4 linked regions of the Drosophila melanogaster genome follow. The protein of the gene in region 2 interacts with the protein of the main gene of each other region in a pairwise test. Each region holds a gene or a part of one and is shown on either strand. Other genes may lie near its edges.

Region 1 (7,570 bases), on a different chromosome or scaffold from region 2:
AAGGGCTGGAATGACTGAATAGTTCGCTGTAGTGGCGCCATATAGCTTTGGTAGACTTGTACCGGGAACCATGTCGGGATTTCCCTCGGTCACCTCGTCCTCAGTGGGTACCACTGTCTGACTGGGCAATTGTTCCAACCAATTGGCCATGCGTTGTTCAGGTTCCAGCTCCTTCCCCTTTATACGCTCATCGAACATTTCTCTTGTTACGTCTCGTGTGGTGTCGTACTCCTCCATATCCCACACGTCCAGCAAACGGGTCGACATCATGTCCGTGTAGTGGGACAGCTTGTAAGCGGATTTCTGCCAGGGACCGCGACTGATGCTCTTCTGCTTTTTAACATTTCTCTTACTGGCAGCTTTCCTTTTGGGTTGCCGTTTTGGTTTCACCTTGGTTTTTTTCTTAGGCGTTTTCTTACCACCTTTCTTGGATTCCGAAGGTTCTTCCTTTACCTTTTCAGAGGCTGGGCTTTCATCTTCTGAAACATCAGTATCTTCTATGCCATAGTCAATTTCGATTTCCTCTACGATTAAAGGTTTTTCTTCAGGTTTTGATCTTTTGGCACCATCTCGAAAGATGTCTCTTATCTCTGGTATCGACTGGACTTGTGTGCAGCGGATGTTCTCGCGTTGGACGCGCTCATTAACGGCATTGGCAAGGTAGCGAATGGCTTCCGTTGTATGAGTTCCGGTTCTGATCTGCTGGACATGCTCCTCTTCATCCCTAAGCGTTAGTCTTTGGCAGTAAACATCTCCCAAGCTGTTGGAGGTTAGCAACTGGGTAAAAGCTTGATCACTGGCCCCCTCTAAGCCAATAAAGCGCATTCCTGTAATGCAGGTCGTTACCCGCTCTGCTATATCAGCATAGACATCCACAAATCCTCCCAAGCGAGCATCTATTAAAGCTTCTTCCAGGGTTACCGGCGCAAATGGTATTGCCGGCGAGAACATTTCATCGACACTTTTTGCCTGAGCTCCTTGCAGTTCACAAATTCGCAAATCTTTGGGTAAGAGTCCACCTAACGCAATATATTCACTGTCCTGGTGAACGCTTGTGTCAATAAAACAGGGTGGATAGGTCATCTGATGCGTCCAGGTGACGACAGCTCGATCGGTCAGCTTTTTACCCAAGCATCTGATATCCAAACAGTGGAAGTTGTGATTACTAGCCACATACAAGAGATTAGGATTCACACCCTTGGCCAAACAAGAGAACCTCTCGCAAGCTTTTGAGTGAACGCCGCTGGCAAAGCAGGGATTCAGAGGCAGATTGCATCGCACATCTACGGTAAACAAAACTGGCTGTGTTAGGCAGTGAAAGGTGCTTTCCTCTGCTTGCTTTAACTGTGCCCAGGTACTCGAGGTTTTCTTCAGTCCTTTTAGCAAGCAAACATCAAGCTTGGCTATATCCTGTTGTGTCGAAATATCCACGAAGCGCAAAGACCTATCCTGGCTAGCTAAGGCCAATGTATTGGCATTGGCCAATGATTGTGCAGCGCTTGTAAAAGGAGCTACTTGACTGCTAAACATGCAATGGCGAATGAGTTCGTAATCTGAATCCGAATCCTGTTCGTCTTTGCATTTAAGTTCGTATAGGGAAACCTCCTTCAGCAACCGTGCCAGGAACATTTGACTGCGATTTAAATTGTGGAGCGGAAGAAGTTCAAAGACTTCGCTGGAGGATTCCTCTATCGTAGCCGAATGCAATGGTTGCCAAAACTCCGCCTCACCATAATCTCGGGAAAAGTGCAAATCTCTGAGCTTATTACCGCTGACATGCATGGCCAGCTGATCGTTTCCATCAAACGGAATCGTGTTTAGGTTTCCGCCTGTGTAGTAGTAATCGTAGCTGTCCCTGAAGAAGGAATTCTCCTGTTGGGCTATGTGCTCAGCCATCTCAAACAGACTGGCATCGTGTACACCTTGCTCCTGCTTCTGTACACGCTGTCTCATATTTTTAAGTCGCCTATCAAATATAGCCTTGCCTAATTGCAATTGCCGTGTCCAATCGTCGTAGCGGAATGGCCTTTGGACGCATGCCTCCACTCGGGGAGTTTGTCCATCCTTTGCCAGGAAGAGGGGTAGCGGCACCGTAACCGAGCAATTTGGCAAGTCCTGCTTCGGATTATCCTGATGATCGTACAAGAGTTGGCCCAACATTCCAGTGTTCAAGCCGGGATAAGAGAAGTGCGGCGCATTTTCCAAAATGCTGCGCAGATTATCTGGCTCATTGTTATCCTCAGCATCTTGATCCGGCGGAAGATCATCTTCGGAATCGGATTCGTTGTCACTAGTTTTGGTCTTGACCTGGGCACTGTATTTGGCCGAATTGAGAGCTGTTTGATAGCGTCGCGGCATGTCTGTAATTGGAGTATAAATAAGAAATCGGATTTTGCTAGCTGGCCGATGTGTTTTGATGCATGTGAGCCTGGCTTACGGATTTCTTCGATCAGCTATCCAGTTCTGCACGAAAGAATTTAGTTAACAAATTGAATTTGACTCAATCAAACGCCAAACGCACGACGTTTCCTCTGGACGCAAGAAACAGCTGATTAGTGATGGGTATTTATGTCTACCCAACCGCATGCTTGCTGTTATGAGCATTACAAGCAAAATATTCACAATATATTAAAATAATATAGGTTTTGGATTATCTATTACATTACATTGGAAGTGCAAAAATGTAACATTGAAAAAAAAAGCATCGTAAAATACCTTTTTAAAGAAATGTAAAGGTTTTAGACACCAATAATAAGTAACATTTACATTTTTAAGTCAAAAATATTTAAGAATCCGATGTTTTGATAAGCGACGATGTATCGCTGGTCGGCGATACTATTTCTAAAATATCGGCTAGCTCGATAGCACCTATATGAAAACATCGATTCCCGATGCATCGATGTTTCTCCCCATCACTATCAAATTTGCTTTGCGCTGCATCGAGACCGAGAATTAAAGACTTGAAAGCAGCTGGAGAAATTACAAGAAATTGATCCCCGAAAATTACTGGCAATCGCGAACAGCGGGCGTGTGTGTGTGTGTGCGTGCGCGCGAGAGCGAGAGAATAAGTGAATGAAACAGAACGAGCACAGAAATTACACAAGTTGTAAAAGAAAAGGTGAAGAAAAAAGTTGGTCGAGACCGAATATTGATTTTTTCATAGACAGTGCAGTTAAAACAACGGTCTCTTTTTGTTAGCCAAAAAGAAGGCGTTGGTAAAAAGCGGTAGTAGTTTTTATCTCAATTTTGAGGCCTACAAAAGAATAGAAGAAAAAGCAACGGAAAGCGTCAGGTGAGTTTTTTAAATCCAACCACGCACACACCTGCACTCACACCTACACTACCGCACACAACGGGCACAATTAACATACATACAAGTGCCAAACAGACAACAAAACAAATGCCAATTGGAAAGGTGTGAAAGAGAGGGGCGGGTCTGGAAGATAACATTAACCAGTTCTAATCCTACTCCCCTCCCTCTCGCTCCGCTTGCATTTGTTTTGTTGCAGTTATCTATTACTCTTCCCTCTCTCTCTCTCTCTCTCTCTCTCTGTCTTATCCTGTCTCTCTCTCTCTGCGCTCGCCCCCATTAAAAAGAAAAGAAAACACACTGCCTCATCTAAAACTTTTCATTTGCATCCCAGTATCTGTTTTTCAATTAGCACTATTGTATATTTTGCGCACTCTTCTTTTTACTTAGTTAACAGTTAGTTGTTGTATGCACGTTTTTGTCGTTGTTGTTCTTGTTGCTCGCCATATCTGTACTAATTCATCCATTTATGATGTTCGTTTTTATTCGTTATTCGTTTTTTTTTTGTGTATGTTTGGCTTTGGTTTCGTTTGGGTTTTCCTCGCTTTTCCTAACTGCTAATTTTTGACAAAACCCAAATGGCTTCTGGCTCTGACGTAATGGACCCCTGCTGCCCTCCCCTTCGCTCCATTCCGTCTCTCTTCCTCTTTATCGCTCTCCCTCTCTCGGAGCTGGCGCTTTTCCACTCTAAACGACCTCCAGAAAACTTCGCCGCAATCATTTCAGCAGCTGCCACAGTGAAGCCTGTGTGCTGAAAACCAAGTTATGCCAGTAAAAAAAAGTGCGGTTGCATGTTGTCCTGGGATTCTAAATTAGTAGGTTTCCTTGATTCCTACACCTTTTTTCCATATTCTGAATTGCAATTAAGTTAAATAAGAAATTTGACGATCTAGGCAATTCGCAAAAAAACCTCAAATCAACTTCGAGTTGATTTTCTAGACAATAGTCGACCAATTTTCCTAACTAAACAAAGGAAAAGCGAAATGGAATAATGGGGTTGTTCATTAAAAGCGACTTGACTGTTATCTCTAATAGTTGCCCTAATTGGTTTACCTATTGGCAGTGTTTACTGTTCCTGCAGACATTTGTTATTCGCTGTTTTGTGAAATTTTATTGCTTCTAGCGGTTTTTGGGTGTGGAAATGAATGGGTGAGGACTCCACTTTAACGGCTCTACTGTAACCTGTCGGCGCCATCGCCATGGACAGGATTTCGTCTCGTCCTCCTGAGTATCTGAGTCCAGTACATACATGTATGTATACGTATCTATATCTGATGTTTAACTTTCCTGCATGTTTAATGCGTAGGTCAGTTTACTCAGAAGGCAAACACAATAAAAAGTTCGCCGCACAAATTGCTTTTGGCGCCTTGTTGCTGCTCCTGTTGTTGTTCTTGTTGTTGTTGTTGTTGACGCTCTTGTTGGCCACTCAGGTGTTTACCAACTTCCCTGGCACCTTCTCCCTTTTCTGCCCTTGGTCTGCTGCGGCTCTGTTTTTATGTAACTTTCAAATCGATTGCAAACACGTAACAGTAGGGCAACCTGCGCCGCCCCTCATTGCCCCACCGTGCCACGCCCCTAGCCTCCCACCTACCCAACTGATATTCTCCCATATCCTGCAACAACACGCTCTGACGTTGAGCGTGTGATTTGGTTCGTTTCGGCTGTACGATTTTTTTTCCTGCTGGCCTGCGGCTTGACATAGCGTGACATTTCCTGTATGTGATTTGCTGCCGTTGTCGGTGCCCCAGAACCCCTGCCACGCCCCCTACCGATGGGGTATCTTGTCTCTCCGCCCCCCAAAGAACATTTGAATAATTTCTGTTTTGCAAATTTGTACCCCCTCCCACATCGGAGGCGATATCCTTGAAGGACTCGGACAAATTGCAGTCAATACAATAGTTGAGCAAGTATTTTTAGGGGCAGCAGAGAACTTGTTGTTAGCCACCTTCCAAGGAAATCGAACACTGAAAGATCTTACAAAAAACAAGAGCCATTAAACGTATTAAATGATAATTTAACAATGAATTATGTATGTAACTACAGCAGACTTCCTTTAAAATTATCTCTTTTCACGTCTAAGTAGAAAAAGATACATTTAAAGCAAATCAAAAGCTCAAGGATTATGTAAATCACTTTTGTTCTCAGAAGAAAAAAAATCGTAATTATTTAGTCTTCTGAGTCGGTAAATCCGAAGTAGCATTGAATCCCAATCAAGTACACAGTTCAGCAGTAGATTGAGTTCAGATTGCTGTCTTGAGCTTCGGTTTGTTGTTGCCCGTTGACCTGCCAACGGTTGCCGTGGGCGACCTGCCAAATTGTCGATATTCCGTGCGCTCCTTTCGCTCCGGGCCGGAAAAACGGAAAAGCCAGGGCACGTCGTTCGCCTGTCGCCGTCCCACTCTAGCCGATGGCTAATTTCAATGGCTCCACGCTGCTTGCACCTCAAGCTCCTCCTCTGCACTCTTCACGTGCAATCGCAATTATGAATAATTCGCCATAAATGGCACACGCTGGGCTGCAATTATTGGAATTGAAGTGGCCCAGATGCCGCTGATAAATCGCTTGCCACCAATAAGCCTATAGTACATTATACATTACTACATTATATGTACATATATATGTAGAAATATGGCGCTAGGCCCATTATATCATATACCATTTCGTGTGGTCGAGGTGAAAAGTGCAAGCGCAACTTTATCAGCGCCCATAAATCGAGCAGCAAAAGGTCAAAGTTGAGCTAGACTAACAGCTTTTTTAGTGGCGAAGGATGGCCGCGGAATTTGCGAGTGCCCATGTACTTGGCAACTTTAAATGCGGTGTCATTTGTGTTTAGGTTTTCAGACTAGGGCAACAAATCATTGTTGTTTTTGTGTGATTATTCATCAGTTATATGGTTGATAAAACCAGTAATTATGCCATAAAAGTTGGTCATTTTATTTGATCAGCTGAAATCAAGCATGTTCCTTTCAATAACAGTTGATAAAAGAATTGTCTTGTATGATTTCACTGTACTTACTTACTTAACTTAGTTATTTGTTTAACCAAAGATAAGGCTTGATGAGATGTTTCGAAAGATATTGGAGAGTCAAGAATCCAGTTTGAATCGCAGCTACCAAGATAAGATAGCTGGAAACCATAAAAGCGATGCATCGTTCCATTTGGAAGTCACGACTTATGCCATTCTCTTCATTTTACGTCGTGATTTTATGACTAAAGTTTCAATTCGAATGGCTAAATTATGCAGTTACCATTGCAGCTAAATGAGCAATAAAATACTTAAGTCGTTGGCTTTTGAATAATAAAACTCTAGAACAACTCTGGCTCGGCATCCCAAATCATCCGGCTTGTATACATTTTGCTGTATGTTTACCCTGGAGCCACATTCATCATACGCACTGAGGTCCCAGCTCGGAAATGAATTCAAATTGCTTGGCTTGACTGGGTTCTAAAACCTAAGACGCAAAAAATAGTAGCCATAACGAGTTTTGTTTTGTTTATCGTTTGAACTTATACACTTGCCCAGTGACCAACCAGTACATAACATGTATATAATTATCTGTATCTGGAGCTGCGTCATAGCATTTGGAGTGCTTGAAGCGTTTGCATTTGCTTCGTTGCTGTCCGGTGATTATTAGTTGATAAATTCGAGCCGCATGACGCACTTAATCAGTGCAAAAAAAAAAAAAAAAAATACTACACGACGAACGAGAACGGGAGGAGGAAAAGATGTGTGTGGCCTCCCGGGGATGTGTGAAATTTTCATGCCTCCGTTCCACTTTGGCTTCAAGCCAGGGCACGTGGAGAGCAGGCCTCAACCCTTGGCCCAAACTGGGTTAATGTAATGCATATGTGCTACATTGGCGACGTAGGAGATGGGAATGGTTCGGGGGGGTTGCAGCTGCAGCAGTCTCTGTGTGCCCCAATCCCAAACCCAGATCCAAAACCCACATACCCACATCGCCTTCCTCTCGCGGCTTGGCCTGCATATTTTGTTTCAAGTACGAGCATTGACGCCCCAGCTCAGTGCTCCCCCCTGCAGTGGAGCTTGGATAGTGATGGCAGAAAGTGAGGTTGAAGGTCTTGAGATTCGGCTGATCTTTAAGGTGCACCAGATTCTGATTAACATAAGTCCAATAATGCTTATTTCATGTCATGTCAAGTCACATAGTGCACTCACTGGAACGTTTAAGAACATTCTTATCGATTCGATGTGGAATAGAAAATGTTCTTGCTTTGATTTACTTCTATGAATAAGGATGT
Region 2 (7,700 bases):
CTCCTCGGATTAATCGGTTTAGTCCTGATCTCGAGATCGGTGGATAGTAGGCCGGGTGGAATGGAATTTCAGTCGCACTATTTGCAGGCCATTACCGCCTACCGAAGGCTAGAGAGGATCCTTCCCAAGGATGAGCTGCGCGCTTTAACGGGCATTGGATTATTGAATGGAGCCCGCCAGGCGGAAGAGCAAATGGAACAGCATTTGGTGGAAGCCGTCAGGGAGCTGCTGTTCCAAATGAATCTTACGGAGAGCGGGCGTGTAATGTCCAAAATCGATGCCATCGAACAGCAGTTGTCCAGGGATCAGAGGGCGCTGGAAATACTCAATCGGGTGATGGATGTGGTGTCCCAGGCCAAGGATGATCATGAGTTCCGAGTGGAGTTAAGGGAAATGGCTCAGGAGCAAAAGGAGGAAGAGCTGTACAATCAGGAACTCTCCGCCGATCTCACGGATCAGCCAAAATTGGGCGAGAGATTGGGAAAACTGAGACGGAATATCATCAAGCAGGTGCCACAAATGAAAAACGAACTGGAGGCCAAGATTGACAAGGCTCTGCAGCATTTATTGGAACAGGCTGGAGAGGATGGAGTGTTGGCCAAGGCCAAGCAAAAGGTGATCCACAAAAGGCAAATCAAGAATGGAACAAAGCAGAGGAAACAGGAGAATCGGAACAACCAGGAGGAGGCGGAGCAACGACAAATTCCGGAGGAAATGAGGATTATAAAGTCCATACTTTCTGAGGTAGTACTAGAGAAATTATTCACAATTCCTTAAAAATCACATACATTAATTCAAAAGTGGTTTTTGAATATAAAAATGATTAACCTTTTAAGTTTAAGCTAAAAATGCATGTCTTTAGTATGGAACGCTTGATTTTTTTTAACGCCAGGCTCATGACTTGCGCTTCCAGGAAGATTTCCTGGAAAATATGTTGGATCAGCCGCCGCCGAGGCGAATTAAAATAGAACCCAACTCTTCGGAACTCGATGATCTGGATATAAACGTAAAGGTGAGCAAAGGACCCATGTTTAACCCTTTGTGACTAACCCAATGACCGCTAATTGATGATGACCTAACCCAACATTGACTTGGTTCACCTAACCCTTTGTCCCACGGCCTTTTGAAGTCGCCAAATGTTACAGCCAAAGGTAAACCGAAAATGAAAGCAAAGCCGGAGAAACAGGTGGAGGCGGAGGGCACAGGCTCCTCGTCGGAATTGGCCACGGATGACAACGATGACCTGGGCGATGGGGATGAGCCCGGTGATGGCGGAGACGGAGCAGGTGGTGGAGGAGGCGGTGGCGGTCTGGTTGGCATCATTAGCAGCCTGAGCGGTGTAAGTGGAAGGCTAAGAAACCCATAAATATTTATTTAAAATGGATTTATTTAGGGTGAAGGTGGTTCCGATGTGGGTGCCTTAATTGGTGCCCTTACCGGTGTGATATCCACTTTATTTGGAGTAAGTATTGAAGTTTTCCAATCAATCAAGGGTATTTAAATAGAAAAACTATCTTTTAGCCTGGAGGCCTAGATGTGCAAGGTCTGATTCAAACGGGAACCTCGCTGATCTCTGGTCTTCTGGGCGGGAATAAGAACTTTGGCCTCGTGTTGGGACAATATGTGGGCACTGCTTTGGATGGTCTCTCTGGAGGTGGTGGAGCGGTGGGTTCCTCAAACCTATTTTCATGAATTTCCAGTCATTTTACTTGCATATATTATTTTTTCCAGATTAACAATGGCCAGTTTATAGGCAACTTCTTGGGCACTGTGCTGGCCGCATTGAGCGCTGTATTTATATATTTTGCTTATATATATATTTACCTTCTAGATCCCAACCTCATAACTGTGTTACTAACCCCTGAACGTCATTTATTTAGCGAGTGCAATAAACAACATTCTACAATCTTTAACAGGATCCCGAGGAGGAGGGCCCACCGCAACCATTGACCTTCACCAAGAACCTGATCACCAGCTTCCTGGAGGCAAAGTTTCGACCAATTTCAGAGGACGGCTCAGAGGAGCGACACGGAAGTGCGGAGTTGCCACGCCCGCGAAAGAAGAAGGAGGGCGGTGGATGGGCAGCTGCGGCGGCAAATAACTTTGATTCTGGAGGATTTGTGAAGCAAGTGGCCTCCCATCTGGTGAGCAATGCCCTTGGATTGATTTTGAATGCCGGTCTGGGAGCCGCTGGAGGAGCTTCGAGTGCAGCCAAGAATATTTTCGCCAGCAGCAGCATGGGTCATCATGCCAAGCCGGCAGATCACCATAGATCTTGGAACCCCTACCATAATGAGCCATTCTAGCCAGCTTAGTCATCACATAATCATAGTTACGTTAATCGTTTGTGTTAAACCCATTTTTTTTTTGCTAGTTCGTAACCGAAATAAATAAAGAAGTGAGGAGAAAGACTTGTTGGTCACTTGGGCAGCTAAGAAAGCGTAAAAGAGGGGCTCTAAATCAAGTGGCGTAACAGCTTGGACAGCGGCTGATGCAAGAGATCCGATGGAATTCAGTGGGAGCCACTGCAATGAACCACTCCCCCAAGGATGCGGTGGGGCAAATCACTGGATGGAAACGCAAAAAGCGAAAGCTCGCAATGAGCGGAAGTAAAAACTAAGTAAAGGTTGAGGGGTGAAATAGCTTGTTTGGGTTCATTTCCTCAAACTAAAGTTCAGTGGAAGGTAGAACAGGGGAATGAACTACGGATTTCGGCTCAGGAGTTTCGCTTCAAAAATTAGTTTTAAATACATTTGGCAATACCTTAATTAACTAATATTTAAATTAAAAAGATAGAATTAATATATATTTTGTAACCCAATAGCCTAATAGCGAATATTTTTGGATCTTCTTGACCCAAGAGTTTTCCCTGAACCTTTCTCCGTGGGCCAACTACTTGGTAGCTTGCCCAATGGAGCGGGCATTGTGTCACTTTCTACTGATTACAGGTTTCATTAAAATGCTTTTACTTGTTTACTTCTGGTGCTTTCTCTGACTCTCTCGCTCTCTCTCTTCCGCCTGCTCTCTCTCTCTCTCTCTCATTCTGTCTTTCTCTTTTTTTTTTTTGAAGTGGGCTGAATATTTTTTTAGCGGCGAGTTTCAGTTTTCAGTTATGCGTGAATCTTTCACAAGACAAAGTGACATTTTGCGGGCCGTTTAGTTGTCGCGTTTTTAATTTGAAAAACTTCAGGTTGTGTTTATTGTTTTGTGTTTTTCTTGTGCGCTCAGTGTTTGTGCTGGTTTATTTGCATTTTGAAATTGTTTATGAACTCAATTATATATTTGGGTGCTTCGGAGAGTTCGCATTGCAATTAAGTTTGGCAAGCCGCATTTTTATTTTATTATATTTCGGGTGAGTATGTATATAAGGCGGCTGAAAGCCGAAAAAAAGGGAAATAAGCGACAATCCCAGCTCAAAATGTATGTCAAAACGAAAGACTTAGGCAACGAACTTGCTAACTGGGCTAAGCCTCAACTGAAAATGCTGGCATAGGTCAGGTCTGTTCCAAAAACAAACAACACTACGGGGGGCTATTAATGGAGGGGGTTATTGAAGAGGGGGGGGGCGCTATTGGTTAGCGTTCGTCCATTAATCGCTTTGGCTACCGAAATTTGGCAACAGCGCCGACGTCAACAATGCAAAAGTGAAGATTCAAATGCGTTAATTGCTTCATAAATCAATTAACAAGAGCCTAACCAATCGTAAGCCGAAAAAAGGGAGAGTTTTATTGTTCTCCTATGACTTACGCTTTGTGTTCAGTGTCATATTTGATTGTTGATTATATTAAGCTATATGGATGGTGTCCAACATTTACTGGTTGACGTGCTACTTAAAATGCTATATAAATTACAAATTTTACATACATTTTAAAAAGGTTTTTTGTTTTTATAGGGAAGTGATTTGAGGGAACTTTCCTTTTTACTCTATTTCATTCGCATTTCATTTGAATTTTCGGGGTTAACTACCTGGTAACCTACTACTCATATTCGGCCTGACCCCTGGTCGCTGTCATGATTGAGGATGAACCAGAGTCAGAGCTAAAAAGACACTCAAAAATTAAAAAAAAAAACAAAAAAAATCACCAACTTGTCTGGGCCATGCAAGAGTGGCCTGGCCCAAAGAAACCGGTAACGGTCTCAAGGTCGTTCGTCGAATCGATGGCTCTGGCCAGATAAGCCTTAGCCCAAGATACAGCAGCCAGTTTAGCCATCAACGCGCTTTGGGCCAAAAGCTAAAAGCTATCAGCCATCAACTCTAAGGCATAAGCAATAACAAAACTCAGTGATGATAGCTGGGCCAAAATAAAAAATAAATAAATAAAATCGAAAACGAGGAAAAAAGCGAAAGTGAACGCCATGAAAGTGGAGCAGTCGAGCTGGAAATCCGCCGAAGGCAAACCGGCGGGGGGGGGGGGGTTGCGTCTCTTCATAAACAAAAAGATATATATGCAGGTGTCATATCTAAGTCGGTCAATAAGTTTATTGACCAGGCGACGCTCCAAATTGTGCGGTTGTTTCGGGAGAGTTATGCAAATCGATTGTGGCAACCCGATATCGAAAAGCGTAGAAACTTATGGCCGTTAAACAATGCACCCTTTTATATTTTTCGGGCCGATTAATATGCAAATCTCGAAATTTCTTATCCACCACTCGATATGTTGTGGCTTTATGTTTCAATTATGAGCGTTAAAGTCCGTATCGCAGATCTTGTATTATACGAATTTTCACACATTTTTTATGATGATATTTTTCCTGGGCAGTAAATTATAAGTTGATGCGGGTCTGGGCGAATGACTGTTTATGTTATTACCGGAGTGTTTTTGCCTATTATAAAATATGTTTAATACTCTTGAGTTTTATTTGCTTGGCAATTTCATAAGCCTTTGGCATTTTCGTTTAGCTTAGAAGTGATTTCCAATTTACGCCTCATTTAACAGCACTAAGTTCTGCACGGCAATTAAGCAAAGTGATCAGATTTGAAATGCCTTTCAAAATATCTAATGCCAAAATGATATTATTACGGGGCGACCTTCGCCGGCCGCCAGTGGCGAGATTTATTAATACTATAATTACAATAATGGCTGAACAAACAAATAAACGCTACATGACAGCAGAATCTGAATCTCCGGCAACCTTTGCGCAAAATCAAACGAATCATTTTTGCCTGGCCAAGAACAAAGTTCGTTTGTCCGATTCTAATACTAATTCTCAGACTGAGTTTTCAGTGAATGGTGGTCAGTTATTTAGTCTGTCGGCAACGCCTTTTCCAATTAAATTCGACCCGGCTATTGGGTACAAAGCAAAAGCACTCGATGCGAAAGATTGGCTTACAAACGGTCTTAATATAAACCGAATTAACTTTATTTTTCCATTAGAGTATTACACATGTGGTGCAAATCTTCGTGGGATTTGCTAAGTTAATTGCAACTTTTTAGAGATTGTCTACACACAACAACTAAAAGTCATTTGAACGTATCTCTTAAAACAAAAATATCAATTCTTTGGCAAGACGTTCTATTGCTTAGTGATTGGTTTTAAAGATATATGGTACCTCTTTTTTTTATATCTTGCCTATACCTGGCACATATTTATTTTGGCATATTTTAGATATTTATTAATAAGTAATCCCAGTCTTAAAAACATTTCCTTGGTCAAATGTCAAATGTACTGGCCGTAAAACACTTGCGCAAAGCCATCAGCAGTTCATTAGAGGCCCATTGCTGCGGCGGAGTTGAATACATTAGATGGAAATGGATGCGGAATCGAGTGCTGGCTTCTCCTCCATCTGGTTAACGAGCCGCACTCTCGGTCCAAATGAATTGGTTAATGGGTAATGGTTATGACCGTCTTCCCAACTTGCGGCGTGTAAACGGTTACTCGTTAAGCAAGGGGGTGCCCAATAGACCTGTTACCCGTTTCACTATATCTATTTTCCATTTTAATTTTATTATTAATTTTTTTTTCTCTGTTTTTCCTGCGTGCACTTAGCGGAGTCATTGTGGCCAGAACAGCGATGAGCAGGTGACATTAATGCCATGGCCCAAAACTGAGCAAAACCACACAAAAAAAAAAGAAAGAAAAAATAGCAGCCAGCGCATAATGCATAATGACAACCGTTGCATAACCCCCCCGCCAGTTGGGCAATGCCAAATTATGCCCCGACATGTTGGCGAAGGGTATTATGCTATATGCTATATGGCGTATGCTATATAGCCATTTCCAGAGAACAAGTTGCCACTGGTTAGTACGGATTTAATGCGTCTGCCCCACTATTTCGGCCCCTGACATTTTCGACGCGACAACTAAAGTTTAGAAACACAAAAAAAAAAAAAAAAAAACACAACACAAACTGACAATTGTAACCAAAAGGCGAAACTGGAAATGCAATGAAGATCTGGTTGTAGTGAATAAAGTCACTAGGGTTCAGGGGGCAAGGATTTGGGGCGCTTTTGGGGTCTTGGCCAGGCCAAAACGGCATGTTTTCTGCCAGATTGCTTTGAATAAAAACCAAGACACATAGCGCCTGTCTTTTTGCTAACATTTTTTTTTCTGGTTTTCTGTTGTCGGTTTTCTGTCATAAACATTATGACACGCGCTGCAACGCTGATGGACAGTTTGACAGATTGACTCACTGACAAACTGACGAAGTGGCGGGGCTGGCCAGCAATTATAGCGTTCTAATTGAGGCGCCTCAACGGCAACAAGCTGCAATTGAATTTTCATGGATAATTTGCTAATTGAGCTGCCAAATTAGGCAGAACAACTGGCCGGATCTTTTGACATGCAGATCTCTAGTGATTGTTATTTAATTGAAAACATGAAAGCCACACAAAAGCTTTAGGTAAATGAAGTATTTTAAATATAATTATACTTCTTTAAATATACATATATACATAATACAATGCACTTATTGTAGGCTTCCGAAACGAATCTTTTTGGTACAATCATTTAATTTCAGCAAATTATTTTATTTCATGTGTCCAATACAGTAGCTGTTCACTCGTTAAACTCATAACCCTACTAAAATGGGTCAGAATGTGGCTTTTGTTTTCGGAAAACATCTTCAAGGGCTTCGTGCTGCGACAAGAAAATTGAAAGTTAATTTAGCTAAGGCCACAAAGTAAGAGGCACTCGAGCATGCACTGGGCACAGGTTCTGCGATCTGTTAAAAAAAAAAAAATGTGTATAAAAAGATACACAGATGTGGATGTGGATGTTGAGATGAAGGTGGAGATGGAGATGGTGTTGCAGGTGGAGGCCTCTGAAGAGACATCTCCCGACCTTGTGACCCACAAAAACGCTGACAGCCGAGCGTGCACTTTGCATTTTGGGTTTTTGCGGTTTCGTTGCTGAAATTTGTACATTTTTTATTTGTCATTTCAACGGATGCGCGCATTAATTTTGCTTTATCTGGTCCCCTCGCTCGTCTGTCGTCACATGAAATGATAAATAAAAATAAAACTACAAACAAAATAAAAGCATGGCAAGGTGCGCCAGCACCTCTTCACGTCAATTAAGGATTATGTTTCGGTCCCGTTCCGGCAAACGACCCAGATGACCTTGAGCCAAGGCGTTGATTAAATCGCTACATTGATAAGCAAATTACTGCAAAAACGGGTTAAGTGGCCACTGGCTGTCTGGGGTTAATTAGAAAGGTTTCCCAAGCACCCAGAAATCGCCAGTGACATTTGCAATTAAAT
Region 3 (6,121 bases), 590 kb from region 2:
GATATGTGTGTACCTACATATATCAGAAGATGCAATTTAAAGGCTCATTGTTTTGAGGATCTGCTGCACCAGTGTGGTGGTGATGGCATCAAGGCCACTTTTGGATGGGGTCCAATGCACCATCGCCACCCATCCAACCATTCACCCAGCCACGCCCCCTTTTCGGACGAAGGTGTTTCAATGGAAACGCAACGGAAAACAACGAAATGCAAAAGACAACAACAGCTGCGCTCTCATCGCCTTGATTACCGGAAGTTTTGCCATAAAATCGCACTAGAGACCATGACAGAATCATAAAAAAAAAAAAATGAGAAGATATAGTCCCAAAGATCCACCCCCTCGATTTGCCGGCAACATCATCATCGTTGTTAATGGCTATCGTTTAAACACGCCTGATTGATGTGTTTTTTATGAGTGTCAAGCTACTCGAGTCGATTGAATGATGCGAATTGCGCCAATACATCAATATATCGCACATTTCAATGCATTCATGCACAGATAAAGTTCACTTCATACATCGGCCGCTAATAACTCATCAATTAATGCTTAAGTATGCTGTTATTAAAAAAGCTGGATGATTTTTTAAAAACCAATAGCCAATAGTTCTGATGCCATGGAACGATGCATTTTTCCAGAAAAGTCAATACCTCGATTTTTTGACAAATTATAATTCGATTTTTTTTTAGCTGTGTCGCATTCTTTCAAAATTATCATATATTTGACATTTTTGTATTTTGTTTTTTAGTAACCATTCATTCGTCGCTCCTATAAACTGGAAAAATTTTTATCCGTATCATAATTCCCGATACTCTTGGCACTTGGCAAGGCCATTTACACATGGCTTCTCTGATTGCTGTTTGTTATGTGCGGTTTTCTGTTGGCCTACCCAGTAAATTAGAGAATAAACAAAAAGTGTCGGTGTCCCATGCCGCATGCCGCATACCGCATACCTAATATCGCGTATACGTCATAGGTACCGACCATAAAAAGTAACCATGCATGGAGCTGAAAAAGCAGAGTGGACCGTAAATAATGCACCGGCGATTTATCAGCTAGAAGAGACAGTTTCAGTTTCAGTTGCAGTTTCAGTTTCAGTTGCATTCATCGGACTCTCGTCTTTGTGGGGAAAAAAAACCAAAGCTACAACGACTATTCAAATGCCATTTCGTAATGCTGTTAAAGTCAGAGTTGCGCAAAAAAATCAAGAAAAATCGATGCCTTTAAAAAAATACTAAAAGTATACGTGGGCTGAAAGAACTTAAAAACTATATTTCTTTTGTAATGAGTATATATATATATGCAAAATGCCTATTTTCTGCTAAAAACTGTTTCTAGAATTTTTAGAAAATCTCTAGAGATAAAATGAGAAAAACAGAGTCCAAAAAGGGTCTGCCCGTAGTTTAGCATTACTTTTTGGTGCAGTCTGGTTTTTTTTTTTTTTTTTTTTTTTTAAACCCAATCCACGAAATGTTTGTTGGCTTAGCCCCGTTAAGCCTCACACTAATTACACTTGCGCTTTTCACAGATCCACACACATAAACTCTGCTCACATGACTACCAAATTTTTCTTAGCCAGTACCGCAAAAAACTCCAACATATTTTCATTTTCATGGTCAAAGTGTCAGTTGAATGGGTGGTTTTTTTTTTTTTTTTTTTTTTTTGGGTGGCTAAACCAGACCAAGGGAATGGACAAATGAATGAAAAATTGTAAATGCGAGTTAGGACCCGTGCAAAATATGCAAATGAAAGCTGCTGTCTCCCGTATTCATTTCCTTTACTCGTCTTATTTTTTGTTTTATCTTTTGCTGGCATACCCAAAAGTTGAGCCCGCAAATCTTGATTTAATTTCCGGCTATTAAGCTGGAAGGGAAAATTCTGGGCTGGCGCATAGTTGTGGGCACAAAAAGGGAAAGTAGTGAAGCAGCTCATTAGGATCACAAAAGGAGTCACGTATTCGGTATGGTTTGTTCCTTTTTTTTTTCTAGGATGCTTGTAATGAATTGGGCACATAAGACTAGTGAAACCTATTCATATTTTAGTTAAAACTACATCTAAATTTACCAACTAATGTTTGAAATAAGATAATCCTTATCTAGCATAATCCTTATCTTCAGTGCAATAATGGCGCAAGGAAATTCATGTTTTCAGAGGCTTTAATCCATTCAGCCGCAATTCCACGCCTTGCACCTCGGCCACGCAGGACCCATTTATTCCCGGGCTTTATGACTCTGCCAATGAATGGATACACAGGCACAGGATGTGTCCTGGCCAAGGACCCTTTTGACCCCACCTTTGCCGGCCACTCTATTATTTATTTATAGAAAGTTGGCAGACTCACGCCAAAGGGGCTAAGAATTTGGTCCTTTGCTGCTTGGCCGCCTTCATTCTGTGACAAATGAATTTGGGTCAGAAGTTGTGCAAATTAAAAAAAAAAAAAAAAAAAAAAAACCGAAGAGAGAAGAGAAGAGAAGCTTGGTCATTTGGCGGGTGTCAAAGTTCCTTCAAACAGGACCGGAAGATTCGTCTCGCCTTTGACTCGCCTGAGCGACATTCAACTGGTTTTCAAGTGCTGAACCGAATTGCAGTTTTATTTCCATTCACGTAGCTCCACACACGGAATGTGCTCCTTTCCCAAAATAACAAAGAAGTAAAGAATGGTTGTCGGCGGCTGTAGCGACTAACTAACTACCCATTGACGTACTACCACAATTAAACGCTTTCTTTGTGTCTACTTTGTGTCTTTTACAAACAAATAACAAACACAATTCTGTAATTAGCTAATGAGCAGTTATATTATTTTGATTGTACACTACACGTATACAATATCCCAATATGCTCCACAAAAAAAGAGGGGTGCAAAGGGCACGTTAAAAAAAGGGGACACCAAAAATGTTACAAAAGATTTACACCATCCAAAACCTCAACGCCATCTCCGCATCCGCAATCGACGCCTCCTTCTTTCTGCTTGTGGGCAATACCATTACTTTTTCAGTTTGCTGGTTTGAGTAATGGATTAGATTTTTACTCACTTGTTTTGGGTTTCCGTGCTACCGCTATTGGTTGGATAGTGTATTCGTTTTTTATAGCACGCCGCCCACACCCCCCAAAAAAAAAAAGGATAACACCGCCGTTGATGAAGGGATGCTAGTGGGAAACTAAAAAGAACCCACAACTCTTGTCTCACCTAAAAACTTTAGTTCATGGTTTTGAAAAAAAAGAAAAAAAAAAAGGCGAAAGATTCTTAAAGTTGGCCTTTTCTTTTCATGTAAAATTCTTTTGTCCTCGTAGTAGGCCCATAATTTTAAATCGATTAGACTTATTCGAAAAGTCCTAAGGTACACACGTGTTTGTTGTGAGTACGAAATCCAAATCGATATCTTGGTAGTTTAATAATTAACAAACGTAATTTTGAATAGTTCTGCGATAATGTTTACTACACTGATGTATCGAACTGCAGCGGTCTCGATGACCGTCTACATAACCAATCGAGTTGGAGTTTGGGGTAAGACAGAGGAGACGGACCACCTGCTCGATCAGATCACCAATGGTCTTCAACCAGTATTTGGACTTCTGCGACGAACGCTGAAGTTAGATGAGAGCGATCTGAGCGTGGGTGAGCTATCCCGGAAATACTACAATGAAGGAGTGAAGGGCACTTTTCGTATCATTCGAAACATACCCAACTATTCGGAGGAATTGGCCGACGGTGCCAAGGTCACCTGTCTGGATTTGGTGGAAAAGGCCAAGGAATTGCGTCACAAAGAATATTCAAAATGGTGGAATACTTCCACAAATAAGGAGCAACTGATTATTGATTCACCAGATTCTGCAGCTGGCGATGGATCTTTCGAGGATTTAGTCCCATTTGAGAAACCAAAGACCGTAGATAATTTTGCGGGGGAAGAGGGAAATGGAGCTCTTGAACAGAGGGTTTAAACAACTGTCTATAAACAAGAAAAATCAGCCTTACTCTCTACAAAATCTTATTGTTAAATCTTTGAGTAAAGACCATGTATCATGTTAGAATCCCCAATACTCTGCAATAGGCCAATAAATATTTTAGATTGCCAAAGAATTCGCCTTTCGAATCATTACTCTAACCAAACAATTTGTTGAAAAATTATTAATCCAATTGGAATTAGCTGTAGAGCAGCAATAATCGTACTTATCAAAATTTTCCTCATTTTTTTCCTCAACTGTTTCTTCGCCCAGACACTCGGTAAACAGTGAGAATTGTCAACAGTCTATTAAAATGCCAGTCGAGCCGCATTGCCAACCGAAGTCAAGCCGTGCGAAAAAGGATTTTCCAACCCCATTCCCGGGAAAAGGAAAAGCTGAAGCCAAGCGAGCCAAACCAAATCAATCCAACCCTTTTTCCCATTTCCTTTATCCAGTTGTTTTGCGTGTTGCTTAACATGCGTTTTAATGTGACCCTTGCGGGTGCATAAAAAATTTAGTTTTTTTTTCACCTATGAAAATCCATTTTCTCTGGAATTTTCTTTATGGTTTGGATACCTGTTACTTGTAGCATTATATTGGTTTTTTTTTTGGTTACATCTACAATTAATATAAGAGACAAAATATCAAATTTAAAGTATCTTTATGCATCCACATTATCCGGCATTTTTATTGAATATTTTTGAAATAAAAACTAAACGCCCTTTTTCACCAACTTCGATTGGTTTTCCTTCTTTATTGTTGAATTGTAAACAGGTGGGTGGGTCATAAAAACGGGGACTACAGATGTTGGAGGGTTAGTAAATCCCTTCTTCAAGCCGAGCGAAATAAACTTTATGAACAGCCCTAGGCAATTGGCACTTTGAAAATATCTAGAAACGAGCGGTTGATTGAAAAACTAGCTTAAATTTTAATTAGTTCTAGCTTATTTACATACATTTAATTAGAAGTTCGCTATGTTCTTACCTGGGGACTCACTTCAAATTAGCCATTTTTAGCTGCCACTTAAAGTCATAAATTCAACATCGCCGAATTCTCGCCCCACCAACCAAGCAGTATTTAAAGTATATCCATTGCATTGTTGTCCAAAGCATAATCCGCGTTGTATCTATTTACATATTTATCTGCGTTTTGCGGGATTCATTGCTGTGACTCCTGATGGAGGATGCCGAAAAAGGTTGTGGAGCTGAAAAAAAGGATACCGCGGATAGGGAGGATGTGTAAGGATGGGATGAGGGCTACGTGCCGCGTCTTTTGGCTGACTCTTTAACCGCTTATGCCTTAGATTTATAGTCACGGATTTTATTTATGTCACTTTACTCATCCTCACCGCTGGCACCATTTTTCTTTGCGGTTTAGCATACAAAACGTCTGGTCCTCGTTTTCTGGTCGTATCCCTTTTATGCTGCCACATTCTATTTCCATGCTGCTCTTCTAAATGTTGCATAAAATCAATTTCCTTAAGTTCAAGTCCTTGATGATGAGGTAAAAGTGTTGTAAGTTTATGCTGCTCGAAAGCGTGGGCTGTGCAGCTTTGCACTGAGCAAAAATAAAGAGCTATTACGAGTTATTAATATGAAATCATGTGTGCGGATGCCCCAGAGCTAGTTATAATTACTAGTTTTGAAATGGGAAATCCACCAAATCAGTGAAAATGTATATTGTTTGGATTGAAAACGCTTAGTAAATATATTAAACGATATTTTCTCTCAGTGTGTCTGCAGAGTGCGAATGTTAGTCGGTACTTGGCGCTGTTGTCGGCACAGCTGGCGTTGAAGTTCCTGGGGATTTTAGGGGTTAGGGTTTGATGTTTGGTGTTTGGGAGCTAGTGGGGTCATGGGGGGGGGGCGCAAAAGTCGACGTGGGCGAAGCTGGGGTGGCACATTTGGCGCCCAGCCGTGCGCTGTCTTGCATATTTAAGTTGGCCGAGCAGCCCCTTTGTCTTTTGGGGGGGGGGGGGGGGGGTGTCTGGGGGTCTAGCATACCGTCCCATCCCCACCCACGTCCGGTTGCTCCAATGTTTCCGTTTGGCTGTCTTCCCCGCCTCACCTGAATGGCATCGTAAAACCAGGTTCATTAGCAGTCGCGCTGGAGGAGTCCGCCGCTTGCCACATTTTCCATATATTCATTTGGCCACTGCATTCATTTCCGTTCACTTTCAATT
Region 4 (10,545 bases), on a different chromosome or scaffold from region 2:
TTCCGGAGGTGCGCCGCGGCAATTTGTGTGCTCCTGCTTCTGGTTGGGATACTCTGTAGGGGTTTTTTTCGCAATTCAATTCGGAAAATAATTGCTGCGAAACAGAGCTCTGTGCTTCTTCTTCTTCTTCGTTTTGCCCCTTCTTCTTCTACCTTCTGACAGATGTGTTTGCCATTCGATTGCTAGCAATCGCCTGTGAATGCCAAAAATTAATCGAGTGCCCAGGGGGCGCGCGAGTGTAAGTGGGTGTGGCCACGTCAAGTCAGCAAAGTAAACACATTTAAAAAATAAATAAAATAGTCCACTTTTCAAGCTAGAGAGCAACAAATTCGGCCTACTGCGCTTAGGGCATTCGATAATTCAGAGCCATTCGATAGACAGAGATGCCTATCGAGTAATCGATTACAGGAATGTCAACAAAGTGGAAATAAAATGAATATTTTACCAAAAAAACGGTAAGTTTTATACTGATTCTAAAGATACCTCTCATCAATTCACGTGTATTTCTTAGCTGGCATGTGCGTACCAAGGAGAACATTGCCCGCGTGCGCCGGGATCAAGCGGCTGCCGCAGCAGAAGAAAAAGTCCGGCAGGAGAAATTGGAATTTGCTGTGGGTATTGCCCAAATATCGTCAATTTAACATAGTAATGTGTACTTTTATCAAATAGGAAAGCGAGGCACGAATCAACTTCCTGCGCCGCCAATCGGGCTTGCCGGAGAAGGCCTCCAAGGAATCTCGAGAGGAGTCGCAATGCAGTACTGAAACAACCAAAGGGGTGGATCTCTTTGCCGACTACAAGGCGAGAGTGAAGACCACTAACAAAGACTTGGAAAAGGAGCAAAAGGAGGAGCAGGAGAAGTATGAGAAGCAGATCGGCTACCTCACCTACTTGGGCCAGGACACCAATGAAGCTTTGAAAGTGCGCAGCTGGTACGAGTTAGCCCCCAAAAGACCAGAAGTTGGGGATCCCACAGCTACTGAAACTCATCATAAGCAAAAGCTAGCCCACGATCCTCTGACCCTAATTAATGCTTTGTTGCCGCCAGAAAAAAAGGATCCCAAAAAGGCCACAAAAAGAATTCGCGAAAGGACACCCGCGCCTTCTCAGGAACCTTCAATACCCCACAAGGACAAGAAATCCAAGAAAGATAAGAAGAAGCACAAGAGCAAAAATGGTTCAAGGGAGACCCTTTTGGCCGAGGAACGCATAAAACGAGAAAAGCTCGAGACGCTAAGAAGGGAGCGCATGCGACGGGAAACAGCGGAACGCCAGCGTTCCGAGGCTCTGTTCGCACCCAAGGAGCTGCCGGTGGCTGCCAGTGCCGAATCCACGCCGGCTTCGACGCCTAAGGTTGTCCAAAAGTACAACAGTCAGTTTAATCCGGAGTTAGCAAAGCAAAATATGCTCTAGCCATTAATTATGTTTTCAACTTAATGTTAACAGCCTGATTATGAATATAATCACTAAGCAAATAAATAGAAATTACACTTTATTATTGAATTGTCTAAAAAAATACTCTTTGTTTAAATATAAAAATGATTATCGTCAAATATTTGTACTTTTATAAATACATACATATGTATAAACACATCGCTTTAATATCCAGTTATTCAACCGTTACAAGAAGTCTTGGCGGTTTGGTCATGGTTTAAATTTAGATTTCGCGATAATTCCGCTTAAATGATATCGGCTACTTTATCGGTGCCGAAACAGGCCAATGCTGCACAGCGTCTAAATCGGACGAACTATTAAGTGATTTTGCACTTAAAATAAGAAGATAGAAACCTAATTTCGAATAAAATTTAATTTAAGATAATTCATCAGTTGAAGGTGATATTAGGCTATCGACACATTGAATTTAGCCCCGAAACTATACTAGTTTGAATTCTAACGGCCGCCACACAAATGCTCAACAGCCGGCTGCAGTGTTAGAGAACGTCGCAGTTTGCGGCACATGTGAAAATCACTTTTTGGCTCGGCGTCTTGGCGTCTTCGTTTCTATTTCTTTGTTATAATTTGCATGCGGGTTCGAAACTCTCTTGATTTCAATTAATTGTTGTGTGCGAAAAACAAAAGAGCCGGGCCAAATGGATGATAATACGGAGAACACAGATGGAAAGCGCGGTGAGTGAATCTAAGCGTGCTGTGCTGAAAAAGCAACGGGACAAGTAAACCGGCGCTCCAAAGTCAGCCATTAACGGGGGGCTCCTATCTCAAGCAGGTCGCCTTTGCATTCGATCGAATAAAATTTATTCTTACACATTATTCATTTTTTCGTTTATCCGTTTAATCCAATAAATATGGTAGTGACCCGGGCTAGAACTCGTCGCTTGTCCCTTCTGGAAACGGACAGTCGTCCGAGCACTCCGCAGTTGGATACGGTTGCGGAACTCGGTAAGTTGTGGCCCAACTCGGATCCCGGTTGTTTCAAGTCTAAGAATATTATTTCTCGCTTCAAAAGGTACCGCTTCGCCACGTGCCACACGTCGCACACGTCTGAACTCGTCCACTTTAGATGTGAGGACTCCAACACGAACCAGGCGCGCATCCTTGGCACGCGGTGAAACTCCCGAGCCGACGACGCCCTCTTCCGTGAAAAGGACAGCTCGCACGCCAGCTAAAAACACCAGATCTGTGCGCCAACAGCTTACACTAACAGAGGAACCTGAGGAAAATGAGGTCAAGCAGGAAAAGCCCAGCCCCAGTCCAAGCCCTGTGCCCAAAGAGGGCAAGGGAAAGGCACAGCGGAAGCCCAGTGTCAGTCCGAGTCCAGGGCGAACACTCACACCCAATCAGCAGAGTGATGAGAAACGAGTGACGCGTTCAATGTCTCAGACTCCACCAATGCCCACTCGTTCGTCCAGTAATACGCCTCGTGATCTTAACGATTCACCCAAAGTTGAGCAAAAAGCTAAACCCAATATTAAAACCACTCCCAAAGTGGCAGTCAGGCTCGAGAAACTTTCAATGGACAAATTCTCTGGCAAGAAGATGGAAAAGGCGAAGCCATTGATTGTACCGGATGAACTCAAGGATAATGGAGTTGTTGAGGAGCAAAATAAATCTATCACTGAAGCCCATTCACAGGCACCAGAAACACACGAATCAGCCCAACCTGACAAGGATGCTGGCAAACAATCATTCCTGAAGTCATTTACTACACTTTCGAAAATTCAAGGTTCAAGTAAAGCTCTTCACCCTGATGAGAGCGCAGATACAATTACAAAAATAACTCCAACCTCGACATCCAAGAAAATTGAAGAAAACATGGATGATGTGTTTGAAACACTACGCGTCGAGTCCCCCAAAGTTGAAAGAAAAATCGAGACTCTGCAGAAAGTCCATACTGTTGGCACTCCTGAAATTAAAGAAAAAGACGAGCCCGTTGGGGTAGACAATGAAATTAAAACGAAAACCGAAACTCCCCAGAAGATTGAACCCCCTATAATTGAAAGCAAAGTAGAAACTCAGCAACTGATTGATCATCCTCAAATAGAAAAGAAAAGAGATACTCCACAAAACGTTTCTACTGTTGACTTAATGGACACAAGCCCAGAAAAAGATGAGTCCATGGAGGACCAAGAGTTTTTGGATGCAGAAGATTCGATTGTTCAGTTAGAGCCACAAACCGATGAGCCAGTAGAGAAACCAAAAGAACTGGAGTTTGTAGACCTCGACGACGATGAGCCGGTATTTCCGTCGGAAGCTCCAAAATATGTCGAAGACAGTAAGGAAGTACACCCAGATGATTCAATGGATGATGACAAGCAAAACAAAATCGATGTTACCGAGGTTATACATCTGCCCAGCATAAGAGCTCGTGCTGTGCGTTCTCCTGCTGTGGAGCAAAAAAAATCGGTGGACTTCAACAACGACACTGATGACTTAGAGGTAGAAAAGAAACGGTTTCCCAAGACTCCAGGACGTGAGAAGGTGCCAGTTTGTCGCATTCTAACCCCCAAGCCGGAGACGCCCTTAAAACTGGCTCTGCAAAAGGGTCGTAATAGTTCCACACCAATATTAAAAGATCAGGAACGTGGCCTGTCCAACAGCACGGAGGAATTGCATCCAGCACCTCCTCAAATTGATGCTATCAAGCCATTCGATGAGCTGGAATCAAAGAATGCTAAGGATGAGATGGTGGAACAATCACCCATGTCAAAGCAAAAGGCTGAGAATAAAATCCTGGCTCGTCTAGAAAGCTTTGAGGAAGATGTTGAAGACCACGGGAATGAAGAAGAAAACGAGGAGGAGCACGAAGAAGACAAATCCATTTCCGAATTTGTGGACCTAGAAGCTGAAGATGCTGGGAAAGATTACATGTCTGGAGATTCGATGGACAGTTCGCTTCGCCGGGAAATGGAGGAGAATGAAATTCCAATCGATGGGGAGTCCGTTGGCAGTAAAGATACTGAGGAGTCTACCCCAGAAGAATCTGATGGCGACGATTCGTTTATTGTATCGGACAACGAAGACGAGGAAGATTTAGGACAGCTTTGCTACTCCTCTGGCGAGGATGAAATTGAAGACGCTGAAGAATCTGAACAAGCTGAGAGGTCTAGCGTGAAACGTCGCCGCATTATTATTGCGAGCCCCAGTGATGAAGAACATGATGGAAAAGTTCAGAGCAATGACGACTCAAGTGAGAACAAAACAGAGAAGCCCAAAAACCAAAGTAACTGCTCATCCAATGCCAGTAAATTGAGCGAAGCGGCCCAACTGTTAAACGTCAGTGAGGAAAAATCTTCCATCTCGGAAACCGAGCTGGAAAGATCTCGCCAAGTCGCTCTCAACGAACTGAACAAATCGGAGCGGTTTAACAAGACAGAAACGCAACTCGATATCAGCGTCATGGAGGTAGACTCCTCGGATCACGACGAGGAGGAGAAGACAGAGAAGGTTGGAGCCAAGAACAACAGAAGCCTGTACGAAATCGTGGATTCTGATGACGGGGAAGAGCAAGATCAAGACCAAAGTGATGCAGATAAACCAGCTGAAAGCGAAAACCATTCCGAAATTAAAAAATCTACATCTTTCATGGACCAAATGTCTGGAGCCAAAGGCAACAAAAGCGTATACGAAATAATGGATTCTTATGAAACTGAAGACCCTAAGGAGGCTGGTAAAAACGAGGAGTCTGATAAGGACAAACCGGCCGAAAACGGGAAGTCTGATAAAGACAAACAAGCCGAAACCGAGATGTCTGATGAAGATAAACCATCTGAAATCAAAAGCCCTTCCACAATCAAAAAATCCATAATTTCAACTGCGGATGAAGAAGCTCTGCTCGCCGAATTGGCCTCTAGTGATCTAAGCCATTTGGAAAAAATGTTTAACCCTCTACAGAAATCCCGCCGCCAGTCCTTACATGTCCCCAGTCCCGAGCTGGCAGCCAAGAATCCCAAACTGAGACGCCGTAGTGAACGGGTTGAAGTTGGCAATGACTTCTGCCCCTCGCAGTCCTTTGTTGACATGGTGGCCGAGAAAAAGAGGCAGAAAAACAAGCGCAAGCGCCTGTCGAAAAGCCTATCAGGCGCACCAGAGGATCTTGAGGAAATGGAGATTAAGCACGAGCGCAAGCGCCTTAAGAGCTCACATGGTGCTTCCACGGATTCAATGGAGGAGGACAACGAAAACGAAACAATGACTGTCGCCGAGGAACATCACAGCGACGGGGAAGTCTCGAATGGTGAAGTTCCTATTGAAGAAAAGCCCACTACTTCATCTGAGAAACCATCTGCGTCGGAATTACCTGAAGAAGAAGAAACTGTCGCCGTTGAGGAGCTTCTCATGGAGAAGCCGAAAACTTGCGATTCACCGCGATCCGAGGAAAGACCGACAGAAATTGTGACTTCAAAACCGAAGGGTATGGCGCCGGTCAAGGTGGAGAAGACTGCCGAATATTACTTGGCATACTGTCACAACCTCCTGGAAGCTGCCAACGAGGCTAAGTTAAAGGAAAAGAAAGAGGTCAGTTTCTTAAATAAAAAATCTCCTTTACGATTCACACTAAATTCGCTTATATTTTATAGCATCTTGCCAGCGGAGCAAAGCAAAAGAAGCCAAAGCGAATTGCTGCGCAAGCGCCATCCAAGCTCCTGGGCACCATCGGCTCAGAATCGGAAACCAACACAGCGAAATCGTCCAAGCAGCCACCGGCGCTGAAGAAGGATGTAAAGCGCCTACAGGCAGCGCGCCAGGCTGTGAGTCATGCTGTTAATCTTCTGGCGCCACCAAAAGCCACCGAAGCAGAGGTAAGCGTTAGTTAGTCGCCTACAAATAATAAGAGTATAACCAAAAGTCCTTGCTCCTCCGCAGCCACGCACGCTCTCGCGCAAATTGTCGCCACAGCCGCCAGTGGTGGACAAGAAATCAGCCAAACAGAAGAAGGGGAAGAAGAAGCAAAAGCCCCAGGAGGCATCACCGCTAAAGAGTTCCGATGAGGAGAACCACGGCCATCGTATTCGAACAAATGCTGGCTACGTGACGGTGGTCGATGAGCCGCCCACTAAAGTTCCCAAAATCGAGCTGATTAAGACAAGTTCGGGCATGGTTCGAGTTGAGCCGTGCACACCCAAACAGAAGTATTTCCGCGAGCTGCCGCCCACACCGAAAATGCATGGGTTCCGCGAGGAGCCAGGACCCTCCGGGATGTCAAGGAAGCGGGCCAAGCACGCAGCACCAAAGGTCGAACACAATTCCGCCAAACAGGCGGCGCTGCGCTTCAAGGAGCAGATCTTTGCTCGCAGATCTTAGGATACATTACATTTAGAGAAAAATTAGTGGAAATGTTAAGTGTACACAATGCATACTTCAGTTTTTGTTTCTTTTCATTAGCATTTCCCCGATTGAATTTGATTCTATTATTTGTTCTATTGGTTATTTGTTACGCAAGCCCTTGCTCTTTGCCATATATTATTATTTTGTTCAATTGCACATCACTTAACCACACTTAACGCTAGCAAGTTGGTTGTTGATCCAATCAAGATATGAAATCAATTAAGAAATTTTCGAACTTGTCCCCTTTTTTTTTGAGCATCTGAGAAACAGAAAATAAAGCCTACCCATACAAATACAAAATGAAGGAGGAAACTTTTTATTACGGGTCCGAACATTCGGGGACAATTCTCTGGAAAAGTAGGCTGGCGGTTGCCTGTCCGTCATGTTGCACAAAACTTTTCATATTTTTTCACATATGGCTCACCATTTCGCAATGCGAACAATTTGTAAGTAAAATGCTATTCTATTCTCAAGATTTAGTATCCTATTTCGATTTTTGCTTTTAGTCAATGCAAAAATTGGCGATGCAGCCTACATCCAGGATGAACTGTCTTCGTCGCTATCCTCTTCTGTGGCCAGCAAATTCAAAGAATTTTCGAAGCGCAAACGCATTTCGGACAGTTTCTCGGATCTTTCAGAAGAACTTGAGAGAATAGGTTTGCGACAGATGAGGAAACGCATTAAGTTGGAGAAATCGTTCGAAAGAACTCCCAAAAAGAAGGTCCAGACCAAGAAGCATTTACCACCGGTTCGGAAGAAGGATAGCGTGAAACGTCGCCGCATTATTATAGCGAGCCCCAGTGATGAAGAACATGATGGAAAAGTTCAGACCAATGACGACTCAAGTGAGAACAAAACAGAGAAGCCCAAAAACCAAAGTAACTGCTCATCCAATGCCAGTAAATTGAGCGAAGCGGCCCAACTGTTAAACGTCAGTGAGGAAAAATCTTCCATCTCGGAAACCGAGCTGGAAAGATCTCGCCAAGTCGCTCTCAACGAACTGAACAAATCGGAGCGGTTTAACAAGACAGAAACGCAACTCGATATCAGCGTCATGGAGGTAGACTCCTCGGATCACGACGAGGAGGAGAAGACAGAGAAGGTTGGAGCCAAGAACAACAGAAGCCTGTACGAAATCGTGGATTCTGATGACGAGGAAGAGCAAGATCAAGACCAAAGTGATGCAGCTAAACCAGCTGAAAGCGAAAACCATTCCGAAATTAAAAAATCTACATCTTTCATGGACCAAATGTCTGGAGCCAAAGGCAACAAAAGCGTATACGAAATAATGGATTCTTATGAAACTGAAGACCCTAAGGAGGCTGGTAAAAACGAGGAGTCTGATAAGGACAAACCGGCCGAAAACGGGAAGTCTGATAAAGACAAACAAGCCGAAACCGAGATGTCTGATGAAGATAAACCATCTGAAATCAAAAGCCCTTCCACAATCAAAAAATCCATAATTTCAACTGCGGATGAAGAAGCTCTGCTCGCCGAATTGGCCTCTAGTGATCTAAGCCATTTGGAAAAAATGTTTAACCCTCTACAGAAATCCCGCCGCCAGTCCTTACATGTCCCCAGTCCCGAGCTGGCAGCCAAGAATCCCAAACTGAGACGCCGTAGTGAACGGGTTGAAGTTGGCAATGACTTCTGCCCCTCGCAGTCCTTTGTTGACATGGTGGCCGAGAAAAAGAGGCAGAAAAACAAGCGCAAGCGCCTGTCGAAAAGCCTATCAGGCGCACCAGAGGATCTTGAGGAAATGGAGATTAAGCACGAGCGCAAGCGCCTTAAGAGCTCACATGGTGCTTCCACGGATTCAATGGAGGAGGACAACGAAAACGAAACAATGACTGTCGCCGAGGAACATCACAGCGACGGGGAAGTCTCGAATGGTGAAGTTCCTATTGAAGAAAAGCCCACTACTTCATCTGAGAAACCATCTGCGTCGGAATTACCTGAAGAAGGTAATTCAGCGCCACCGGCGCTGAAGAAGGATGTAAAGCGCCTACAGGCAGCGCGCCAGGCTGTGAGTCATGCTGTTAATCTTCTGGCGCCACCAAAAGCCACCGAAGCAGAGGTAAGCGTTAGTTAGTCGCCTACAAATAATAAGAGTATAACCAAAAGTCCTTGCTCCTCCGCAGCCACGTACGCTCTCGCGCAAATTGTCGCCACAGCCGCCAGTGGTGGACAAGAAATCAGCCAAACAGAAGAAGAAGGGGAAGAAGAAGCAAAAGCCCCAGGAGGCATCACCGCTAAAGAGTTCCGATGAGGAGAACCACGGCCATCGTATTCGAACAAATGCTGGCTACGTGACGGTGGTCGATGAGCCGCCCACTAAAGTTCCCATAATCGAGCTGATTAAGACAAGTTCGGGCATGGTTCGAGTTGAGCCGTGCACACCCAAACAGAAGTATTTCCGCGAGCTGCCGCCCACACCGAAAATGCATGGGTTCCGCGAGGAGCCAGGACCCTCCGGGATGTCAAGGAAGCGGGCCAAGCACGCAGCACCAAAGGTCGAACACAATTCCGCCAAACAGGCGGCGCTGCGCTTCAAGGAGCAGATCTTTGCTCGCAGATCTTAGGATACATTACATTTAGAGAAAAATTAGTGGAAATGTTAAGTGTACACAATGCATACTTCAGTTTTTGTTTCTTTTCATTAGCATTTCCCCGATTGAATTTGATTCTATTATTTGTTCTATTGGTTATTTGTTACGCAAGCCCTTGCTCTTTGCCATATATTATTATTTTGTTCAATTGCACATCACTTAACCACACTTAACGCTAGCAAGTTGGTTGTTGATCCAATCAAGATATGAAATCAATTAAGAAATTTTCGAACTTGTCCCATTTTTTTTTTGAGCATCTGAGAAATAGAAAATAAAGCCTACCCATACAAATACAAAATGAAGGAGGAAACTTTTTATTAGGGGTCCGAACATTCGGGGACAATTCTCTGGAAAAGTAGGCTGGCGGTTGCCTGTCCGTCATGTTGCACAAAACTTTTCATATTTTTTCACATATGGCTCACCATTTCGCAATGCGAACAATTTGTAAGTAAAATGCTATTCTATTCTCAAGATTTAGTATCCTATTTCGATTTTTGCTTTTAGTCAATGCAAAAATTGGCGATGCAGCCTACATCCAGGATGAACTGTCTTCGTCGCTATCCTCTTCTGTGGCCAGCAAATTCAAAGAATTTTCGAAGCGCAAACGCATTTCGGACAGTTTCTCGGATCTTTCAGAAGAACTTGAGAGAATAGGTTTGCGACAGATGAGGAAACGCATTAAGTTGGAGAAATCGTTCGAAAGAACACCCAAAAAGAAGGTCCAGACCAAGAAGCATTTACCACCGGTTCGGAAGAAGGATACATCTGGAAATCGTGGCTCATTTGGCTTGCGACAAATGAGGAAGCGCGTTAAGTTGGAGGACACCGACGAGAAGTCTTACAAAAGATCTCCCAAAATGAAGGTCATATCAATGAAGCAGTCACCTCTGAAGGGACCGGCTCCAATCATATTGCGTAAAAAGTTTGGAATCTACGTAGCTAGTGTTTGGACTAGTGCTGGCTACGTCTTGGTGATCCGGGAACCGTCTGCAGTTGAAACAACCAATAGCAGTTCGGTCAGTTGGCTTGGGGAGCAGTAATTTTACCACAATATGAATACTGAATATTTAGTCTGTATTATATATATAGTAAAATTGTTGTTTTATTTATGAGTCGAACTAATGTCCCGTCAGTTGACTAAGGACAACGCCAA

The links.
Region 1: the proteins of CG43386 (region 2) and MESK2 interact in a two-hybrid assay, tested with the Drosophila melanogaster proteins (one large-scale study listed by BioGRID).
Region 3: the proteins of CG43386 (region 2) and CG15296 interact in a two-hybrid assay, tested with the Drosophila melanogaster proteins (one large-scale study listed by BioGRID).
Region 4: the proteins of CG43386 (region 2) and sle interact in a two-hybrid assay, tested with the Drosophila melanogaster proteins (one large-scale study listed by BioGRID).

What each region holds. Positions count from the first base shown.
Region 1 is NT_033778.4:21,499,188-21,506,757, forward strand, and holds the start of MESK2 (misexpression suppressor of KSR 2), read left to right. Parts: upstream 1-2,909; 5' UTR 2,910-3,292; intron 3,293-6,959; exon of another isoform or gene 6,960-7,148; intron 7,149-7,570. Other genes in the region: TAF1C-like (TATA box-binding protein-associated factor RNA polymerase I subunit C-like), read right to left, coding at 1-2,358.
Region 2 is NC_004354.4:9,972,811-9,980,510, reverse strand, and holds the start of CG43386 (uncharacterized protein), read left to right. Parts: upstream 1-3,105; 5' UTR 3,106-3,352; intron 3,353-7,700. Other genes in the region: CG15252 (uncharacterized protein), read left to right, coding at 1-744, 893-1,012, 1,130-1,339, 1,394-1,462, 1,522-1,665, 1,732-1,791, 1,917-2,306.
Region 3 is NC_004354.4:10,563,794-10,569,914, reverse strand, and holds CG15296 (uncharacterized protein), read left to right. Parts: upstream 1-3,323; 5' UTR 3,324-3,356; intron 3,357-3,416; 5' UTR 3,417-3,426; coding exon 3,427-3,936; 3' UTR 3,937-4,073; downstream 4,074-6,121.
Region 4 is NT_033777.3:10,331,187-10,341,731, forward strand, and holds sle (slender lobes), read left to right. Parts: upstream 1-1,928; 5' UTR 1,929-2,090; coding exon 2,091-2,127; intron 2,128-2,210; exon of another isoform or gene 2,211-2,303; coding exon of another isoform or gene 2,304-2,310; coding exon 2,311-2,397; intron 2,398-2,464; coding exon 2,465-5,973; intron 5,974-6,035; coding exon 6,036-6,257; intron 6,258-6,321; coding exon 6,322-6,759; 3' UTR 6,760-7,079; downstream 7,080-10,545. Other genes in the region: Bruce (BIR repeat containing ubiquitin-conjugating enzyme), read right to left, coding at 1-1; CG12818 (uncharacterized protein), read left to right, coding at 433-455, 512-611, 670-1,413; CG12592 (uncharacterized protein), read left to right, coding at 7,217-7,229, 7,290-8,860, 8,925-9,365; CG18545 (uncharacterized protein), read left to right, coding at 9,773-9,836, 9,897-10,432.